Linked DNA regions of Drosophila melanogaster. The protein of the gene in region 1 interacts with the protein of each later gene in a pairwise test. Each region holds a gene or a part of one and is shown in the gene's direction. Other genes may lie near its edges.

Region 1 (4,302 bases):
TTACTTGCTATGATTTTCTGCGCACTTTGCTAAAATTAGTCATTTGGCATAGACCTCGCATCACCCGATGTAGCCGTGATCGTCTAGTGGTTAGGACCCCACGTTGTGGCCGTGGTAACCCAGGTTCGAATCCTGGTCACGGCAATGTTGAAACAAACATTGTCACGGAGTTGGGTATTTTTTTACACTCTAATTATTTTGATGAAAATGAAAATAATTATTAAACAAATTGAAATGATATATAAATAAATGATAAAACATGTTTTTGCTAATCTTATTATTTGATTTTCTATTTGATTTGGGGTAGTGTTTACTAATTACATCTGCAATTTTTTTTTATTAGGTGACGTGGTGGGATCTTGGAATTGCTGGGCGCAATCCAATGTAGCCGTGATCGTCTAGTGGTTAGGACCCCACGTTGTGGGTTACCACACCCAGGTTCGAATCCTGGTCACGGCAATGTTCAAATAAACATTGTCACGGAGTTGGGTTATTTTTTATTTTTAAGCTTGGAATTGGCTATTTTGTACAAAATGTTGGTTATCGAAAACTCGTTGAGTTTTAAGTCCACAAGCACCAATGAACGAAATACTTCAAAATAATTAAAATTTGAAAATATACATTTTTCTGGCAAAGTGAATATGGATGTCACGAAAACATCAAGCGCTGAGGAAACCGAAAACACGGAAAATACTAGTCATGCTAAAAACATTAACGAAAACGTATCAAAATTTTATGAAACTATTGGAAATATTTCCCGAAATATGCGCAAGGACGATTGGACATATCTACAACGCCATCCAGAGATCCGAGCCATAATTCGGGTCATTACAGCCGAGGCGGTTAAGGCAAAGCCATCGAATATCTACCAATTTACAGCCAATTTATTTGGAAGCGAAAGAGACGAGGAGATGGTAGAAAAGGCAATAATTTTTGTTTGCATATTTACATAAATGAAAAAAAAAACGCTTAAAAGAATTGTAATTTTCTAGATAAACAAGCAACTTAAGTGGTTGGAAGAGCAGTTGCGAGGGGGTACGTGGAATCCTGACGAAGGATGTGCCCCGTTTCCAGAATCCAGCGAGACTTCTTCGGAAACTAAATGCCAAACTAATTTTAATACCACTGCGAGTTTCAACATACCCGAAAAGCAAGTTTGCCCTGAAAATTATAAGCCAGATTGCAAGAAATGTTAAAAATGTGAACTTAATAAATTCAAAAAAAAAAAATTCAGATTGCAAGAAATGTTAAAAATGTGAACTTAATAAATTCAAAAAAAAAAAAAATCAGATTGCAAGAAATGTTAAAAATGTGAACTTAATAAATTCAAAAAACTTTTTAAAAGGAATAAAAAATATTTGTAATTAAATTATACATATTTAAATTACTTTTTATAACTTTGCCACATTAGGCAACACTGCATTTCACAGTCTGCACTGCCACCTATTTAGCGAGCAGTCTGGCAGCCCAAGCCAGAAAGTAAGATATACAGTACGGCGACTTATTATTTGAGCGGAAAAGCGGAAAAACTATTCAGAGTGTTGTGTAACTTTTTATATTAGTGAAAATATCAGTTGGTAAATTCAAGTTATTTGCTCCCAAACAGCCAAATAAATGGTAATACGCGAGGAGTGTCCAAAGAACGGACAAAAAGCGAGGTCGCGACTTCGAGGAGGAGGAGTAGCCATTTTTCGTGGTGAGTAAAAAATATATATGTGGGGATCTGACCACCACCTTCACCTCCTCAGTGTCCTCTATTTTGTTTTGCTACGCCCATTCGTTGTCAAAGACAATAACAAAACAGCTTTGTACGAAGATTAGTTAATTTCGATATGTTTATTTTGGTTTAAAATACGATTATAGTGTTCTTAAAATGCGCTTGGCATGACTGATTTCTGATTGCTTTGAAACCACAACAATAACAACAGTACCGGCCGGCAAACGAAAGGGAAAGCAAAAGCAAAAGGAAACCGAAAACGTCATTCCTGCGTTGACTTTGAAACCCTGGAGTTGTATTAGTCGCCGGAAAAATTTTATTCTTTTAGCCGAATTTTCGCGAAGATTGTTAGTGAAAATGTTGCCCCACGATAGGAAAATACTTAGGTGATAGTCGCCAGCTGGAACAACACGAATCTAGTCGCAACAACATGATTTAAATCAATTTTTTGCCATTTATTTTCATTCCAGGCAACATACACGCCAGAACCAGAATACGAATCGCCGGCGCCCCAGATTCACCAACAATAGCTTCCATACCAAAATGGGCAGCAACTCCAAGGCAGACCCCATCTCGCTGACCTTCCACGACTCCTGCCTGCGGATGTCCGACGTCCAGTTGCTCCACGGCCCGCACTGGCTGAACGACCAGATCCTGAGCTTCTACTACGAATACCTGGCCCACATGAAGTACAAGACCAATGCGGATCTGCACTTCATTGCGCCGGAGATTACGCAGTGTATGAAGTACATGGGCGACCAGGAGCTGAAGCAGCTTCTCGACCAGAGCAACACCACTGGCAAGCCCTTTATCTTCTTCGCGCTGAACGACAACGAAACCACCGATGCTGGTGGCAGCCACTGGTCACTGTTGGTCTTCTCGCGTCCGGAGAAGACCTTCTATCACTTCGATTCGTATGGGAACAACAACACGGGCAACTCCCTGGAGCTGATGAACAAGATCAAGGACCTGCTTGGCGTCCGAATGGCCAAATTCCGGCCCATGCGCTGCCTACAGCAGGCGAACGGCTACGACTGTGGCATCCATGTTATCTGCATGACCGACCACATTGCCGATTACCTAAACAGATACGAGGTGATCGACGGACTGCCGTCGCTGCACATCGACACCGTGAAGGCGAAGCGCACCGAGCTACTGAAACTCATCCTGTCGCTGGGCGGCAAGGGCTAGAGGCTAGCGAGGATTGCCCTGCCGAACCGCCCACAGCCGAGTAGTTTTTAAGTGACCAAATTACGAATGTAACTCGTTGCCGAAGAATGAGAGGAGCATCGGAATTACATATGTGAATACGATATCCATGATATCGCTAGTTGTAGTGGGTTTAGTTTTCCTTGCCGAATGAAAATGTTTAAAAAACAAAAGCAAACTAAAAGCAATTGAGGCGGTGAGTCGGCATATTTTTAAGGTTGGTCTTTCAAAATAAAGATTTGTTTAGCCACAAAACGCGTTGGCTTCGAATTCAGAATTCTGACTTCTCTGCTTGTTTGGTCAATGGGCGCCTGTCGCCAATTAATGAAAACAAAGATATCAGTTGGTTGCAATTATTTATTATAAATGCAAAACGGGAACGGATCCGCGCGGATCTATGATTAGATTACATTTAAAAACACATACAAAATAGATAAATCCACATCGAAAATTGATATTACAATGAGGCACTGGAGTACACAAGGAATACCTTTCATCGCCAGGCGAATGCTCGGGTGGGTAGGGGTAGTTAGTAATGGGTGGGGGGAGACCAGGACGTTAACCTGACCACTACTATCTAAAAGCTAGCTAAGCTGCATACTTGCACGTTTGAGACTGCTCCTAGAGCCGAACTTCGGGCTTGGCCCAACCGCCAAAGGCTCGCTCCAATTCCTCGGCAACGGCCAAACAAAGTCGATCCTGATTGAAGTTGGCGATGATTTGGACACCCAGTGGCAGACCCTCGCTGCCCAGCTTGCCCAGCGGCACAGCGGTGGCCGGGAAGCCCAGCACATTGACAATACCAGTGTAGGCAAAGTTAATGGGTCGCGTAATGGGCTCATTGTGGTATGGAGCCACCGTGGGATGCGTGGGATAGATCAGCACACCATTATCGCCCAGCAGGCTTTGCAACTCCTCCCTCAGCTCATTTCGTTTGCGCACCAGATGATCGTACTTGGGAGATCCGTGCTTGCACTGTGCACTATCCATGATAGCTGTCGACAGGCCAATGAATGTGTGCTTGGAAGCGCCGAAGAACCACTTGAAGAGCTCCAGGTACGTGTTGATGTCATGATTCAGGTTGCCTAGCTGGTAGGCGAATCCATGGCCACTGTCGTCGCGCATGTTGGCAAACCAAATGGCCGCCGACTGCCGGAAGTGGGGCAGCTGGATGCGCTCCACTTTCTGATTGCCGAACTTCTCTCTCAAGTGCTGTGCCACGCGGTTCATGGCCTGCAGCAAGAAAGATTTCAGATTAGAGGATTTAATTAAGAAAGAAGGTCATTTATCTTACCTCTCTTAAGTCTGGATCAACGGCGGAAACCAAGCGGCCGCCGCCATCGGACTCTTGGTAGAAGAACTTCATTTTGGTTAGG
Region 2 (5,384 bases), on another chromosome or scaffold:
ACAAAAACTCTCAACAGTCCACAAATCTCATGCTTTTAAAACAAAAGAAATAATTTTACTGAAACCAAACAGCTGGAAGCTAGAAGCTGAAAGAAAACCAAAGCCACATCCTACGTTGAATAATTTACCTGTATAATATTTATGTCATTTCGTTAAACGCAAAATGTTAACATACTTTTAAAGCGCGTGTAAAACGGATAGTTAATAAAATAACGACAACAATATTTAAAAGAACATATACACTCGATGAAAATGAATATTAAAGATCGAAAAAAAGAAAAAGGAATCTGTTATTAGTAGGCCGTGGGTTCAATAAGATCTTTTCGAGTATGATAGGTGTATTTCGTTTTGTGCCTCCAAAATTTCAGATATTATTCAGCTACACACAGACAGGCCTCCCAAATTTGTAAGCTCTGTAAATTCAAAACCAGAACTGCTGCAGGCCAGTGGCGAAGTTAATTTGTCAGAGGAAAACTCAAGCCATCTCCATGGATAAAAACCACAAGTCGGGTGAGTCAAGCCGAGTGTGGCATCCTTAAGTTGTTAAAACTATGTGTGTTCTTTGCTCCAGAAGAGGGGTTTGGACGTTCAATGTCTAGTAGCAGTCGCCGCGTCATGTGGAAGCTCAACGAGGAGGAGGAGACATTCGACTCCTTGGTCAATTATCGGCGGCTTCCTTCGCGCAGCCTAAACCGAAGTCAGGTGACCGATGTGCCCACCAAGGGACACACTACCTCCGAAAATTGCCAGCTGCCAGCGCAAGAGTTGGAAACAAAGAGCGCCACCAACGAACAAGGTGCATTGGGCATAATGTCGGTTAGCCTACCGCAAACAACCAGGAATTCCCATCAATCGTCGGCCACGTCACTGCCGGAGGCCAAGGGATGCACTGCCACCGAAAACTGCCAGTTGCTAGCGCAAGAGGCGGAAACAAAGAACGCCAGCAACGAACAAGGTGGATTGGGCAAAATGTCGGTTAGCCTGCCGCAACAAAACTGGAACGCCAATCAATCGTCGGCCACGTCACTGCCGGAGGCCAAGGAGATCAGCTCCAAAGAGCAGGCGATCATCTACTGGCGGCGTCTTTTCGATGGTATCCACAAGCGCCAGCGTGGCGAAAGAAAAGTTGCAGCAATGCAGCCCGAAAATACCACAGATGTCGTGCTGACGTCCAAGCCAAACCTGGCATTGCGCTACAAGCCCTCCCATGAGTCGCTTAAAAACAAGCGGATCAAGGACCTGGCTCCTGAACGATGCCCGAGCACGTCCCGGGGATCAACGTCCTGCAAACTGGTATCGGACCTCAAGATGGAGACGTTCAGCCTGCCGCCGCAGCAGACGTGTGTGGTGCGCGAGGTGGAGCCTCGGTTTGGCCAGCGCCGACGCATGTTGTTGGCCAACGACACGGATTCGTGCTACTCCGGCGAGCTGGAGGTCCCCAAAAACAGTCCCGTCCAGGAGCCAGGACCCTATCCGCGCAGCGAACTGATCAGTGTCCATGTCTCGGCGCCCACCAGCTCCTCTTTTACGGGAGCAACACGGCGGAGTCTGTCTCCAACTAGGCAGCGCACTGCGACGAGCAAGGTGGCCGCCGGGACGAAGGGCGGACCATCACCAGCAGTTGGGGGCAACAAGTGCTCGAGCGTCAGCAGCGGGAGTGCAGGTACCAGCCAGCTGCCTAATTTCCGCCAGCGGCAGCAAGAGCTCCATCGCTATCGCGTTATGATCGAGCAACGGCGCCTCGATCTACTCGAGCTCAAGATAGCCCGCGAACGCGAGGAGGCGCTGCACAGCGAGGTTCTGTTTCACAAGGAACTGCAGATCAAGGAGAACATGATCAAGGTGTACGAGGACAACGACTGCTCCAACGCCTAGGACTTCCTTTATTCCTAACTCTTTCGACCCCAAATTCAGAAAGGTATTTTACACTTGGCAATGGCCCTGGCCTCAGTAGTTCAAAACACTCAGTCAAATAAAACCGAAATTCATTTAGACATCCCAATCTAGGTTTTTTATTAACTACCTGAGAAATAAGTATCAAAACTGCAATATATGAAATTCAACTTAGCGGGTAATTTCAAATCTAATGTGCCCGTTCGTTTACAGCACTGGCAGTGTGTGCGCATCGCTGTGAATGGACATTAGCCCCAAACAACTTTTTATTTCATTTGTTTAAACCGAAAACGTGAAATGTTAATAAATGTGTGCCGAGTTTGCGGCAGGAGCAGGCTGTGCCCCAAAGCCGTGGAGCTCTTCAAACCTGGCAGACAGGATATTCTTCGCCGCATCCAACTAATAACCGGAATTCTCGTGAGTTAAGGAATCAAAATGGATCGCGCAATTTACATATGTGCGAGCGCTTCCTTTTTTGTATTCTGCAGCTTCAGCAGATTCCCAATGCTCCGGATATGGTGTGCTTTTGCTGCCAGACAGATCTGCAATCGGCCATGATTTTCCGGAGGCAGTGCATCCTGCAGCAGAAGAAATGGGTGCCATTGCTACAAAGTGATAAAGTGGGAGCCAGCGAGGAAAAGAAGGTGGAACCCAATGATCCCTCAACCAAGAAGAAAACGACCAAGCGGCGAAGGGGGCGACCCAGGATGCCACTGGAAATTGTAGATATAGTCGTAACGAACGAGAGTAAGGCTTCAGCAGGTGAATCAGTTGGTGGTGATGAATTTGATCAGCCGGTGGAGATCTCCAATGAACCGGATGCCACCGATAGCGATGTTAATCTGGAGGAAATAGATCTTCCGGATGAGGATGGCTTGGAGTCGGATCACGATTTACCCAATGTTCAAATCCACAAGTGCGATACTTGTGGAATTATCAAAAATAATAAATCATCTCTGGTCAGGCATCAGTTTGAACATAATGGAATAAGACCATATCCCTGCAAGTAAGTAAGAATCGCGACGAAAATATACATTTACTGATACTTAAATAGGTCCGTCGTCTTTATCTTTATCTCTTCGTATCTGGTCCATTATCACGATTTGATTAGCATACATTGTGCCTACATACATACATATGTATGTAAATTCTTTTTCTTTGTACAGTATCTGCAATATGTATTTTTCAGGGAGTGCCCAAAGACCTTTCTGGTAGCGAGTGAGCTGAAGGCACACAATCTCACCCATCACACCTTGGAGCCCCCGTTCGCCTGTCGCTACTGCGATCGTCGCTACTTCTCCGTGGTGGGCAGGAAGAAGCACGAGCGGGTCCACACCAACGAGCGACCATTTGTGTGCGATCAGTGCGGCAAGGCCTTCACCAGGACCTGCATTCTGAAGGCCCACATGGCGGTCCACCAAGTTGTAAGGAAGTATAGGTACTTGATGAAATTAAAAAAAAACATGTCGAGATACATTCTGTTATAATCTTTCATTCCCGTTTTAGTTGCGATGTCTGCGATCGTTCGTTCAGCCTGAAGAAACATCTCGCTACGCACTTCATCTCCAATACCCACAAGCGGAATGCTGAAGCCGTCACCTCGTCGTCGGAGTACATGTCCATGCTCAGTTTTGAATCGGATGAAACCTGGTCCCAAGGCACTCCACTGACCACTTCCATTGACGAGGATCTGGTGCAGTCGCAATTCGACCTTTTGTGTCAGGAAGTTTAATACATCTCAAGATGCCATATGTTTTATCAATATACCAAAAAAAAAAAAAAAATTTAGGTAAGAGCTAACCCACAAAGACTTAATAACAGCTGAAACCACAAAAGACAATATCAAATATGGGTCTAAAAATATTGGTGACATTTTTGTAATTCCTTAAAACTCAGCAACAAAGAGACAACTTGGGAACAAATTTAGCTTTTTTTAGCACGTAGTTTTTAAAAAACACTTTACAGTGGCCATGTTATTGCAAATTTTAGTTTTTGCTATTTTTTTTTGCGTAATTTACATCTGCATTGCAATTGCTTCCTTGAATATAACAAAAGTGCCTATATAGTCTTATCTTATACATACATACTTTATTGGGCTAGTTTTAAAATAAAATATATTCAGACATGAGGTACAAAAATGAACATTGAATTTAGAATCAAATCTTTTTCGAAATACATTTTACGAAACATTTTACGTGGATTATTTCGATTTACCGAAACAGAAATATGAAGCTATATGTTTTGTTTTCAAAAATTGATCCTGCGCATTATTAGCATGCAGGTCGTACTTATTTCAAGCACCCATGAAATGGTTCAGCTTAACGATTTGACCAATATTATTTACACCTATTATTAAGTTTTAATATTATAAGCAGTATCTGTTTTATCAGACTGCTCCAGTTGTTAACAGATCAATAGCTATTTAAATAAAGATTTTGACTTTCAAAAATCCCCGCCTTGAATGAATAATTTATCTGGTTTGCCTCAAAATGTAATCACCATACAATTGCCTTTCCATCAGTCGAGTTTAGTGATCGAGATGCTGAACATCGTGTGTAGAGTCTGCGGAAGGCAGAAAATCTGTGAGAAGAGCCTGAATCTCTTCGATTTGGTCAACCGAAAATATCTAAAGCACTTGCACATGATAAGCGGACTAAGAGTGAGTTAAAAGACGTTTTAAAATTGAGATAAATAATATCAGCACCAGTTGGTGGATTTGGACGATGTTCCTGGTTTCATGTGCCTTTGCTGTCAGGCGGAACTCAGATCGGCATTGGCATTCCGGAAGCTTTGCATTAAGACCCAAACTAAATGGCTAACCATCGAGGACGACTCTTCGTCGGGTGATGAAGATACCAATGACAATTCGGAACTGGAATCGGAAAAATGCGCATTCAGCGATTTTGGGAAAAAGAAAGAAGGCGAGTTGGTTGAAGAAACTTTTCAGGTACTGATTGAAGAGGAGCCCATGGACAAAACTCTGAATAGAGATGCGAAAGCGCAGCTGAGGGAAGATGGAATAGATGAGAAGTGTGTACCTTCACAAAAGATTATCAAAGTATCAACCAAACTGGATGATCAGATTTACATATGCGAGCTGTGCGGGACTCATGCCACATCGAAACCCACTTTCCAGCGCCACATGAGAAAACACAGAGGCGAACGACCATTTGGCTGCAAGTAAACCTCGCTCACAGATTACAACTGTAGGTTCGGTATGCTGATTCCATATTCTCTTTTTAGGGATTGTGATGCCAGGTTTCTCTCTGCTGGCGAACTACGTGCCCACCACCGGGTACATACTGGGGAGCAACCGTTTGCCTGTCGCTTCTGCGAAAAGCGGTATGTCAGCTACATGGGCCGGCTGATCCACGAGCGGACTCACACCAACGATCGACCCTATGTGTGCGAAGAGTGTGGCAAGAAGTTCACCACTGCCTACGTCCTAAAGAACCACATGGTCATCCACACGGGCGAGAGGAATTTCCGAT

What was found.
Region 2: the proteins of Den1 (region 1) and nom interact in a two-hybrid assay, tested with the Drosophila melanogaster proteins (2 studies listed by BioGRID).

Annotation. Positions count from the first base shown.
Region 1 is NT_033778.4:12,336,346-12,340,647, forward strand, and holds Den1 (deneddylase 1), read left to right. Parts: upstream 1-1,954; 5' UTR 1,955-2,074; coding exon 2,075-2,103; intron 2,104-2,187; coding exon 2,188-2,908; 3' UTR 2,909-3,199; downstream 3,200-4,302. Other genes in the region: CG34021 (uncharacterized protein), read left to right, coding at 642-923, 993-1,196; CG8839 (uncharacterized protein), read right to left, coding at 3,548-4,159, 4,221-4,302.
Region 2 is NT_033777.3:8,721,052-8,726,435, forward strand, and holds nom (numerous disordered muscles), read left to right. Parts: upstream 1-2,122; 5' UTR 2,123-2,190; coding exon 2,191-2,310; intron 2,311-2,381; coding exon 2,382-2,899; intron 2,900-3,082; coding exon 3,083-3,331; intron 3,332-3,399; coding exon 3,400-3,625; 3' UTR 3,626-4,306; downstream 4,307-5,384. Other genes in the region: CG8136 (uncharacterized protein), read left to right, coding at 489-510, 572-1,875; ouib (ouija board), read left to right, coding at 4,433-4,552, 4,601-5,073, 5,137-5,384.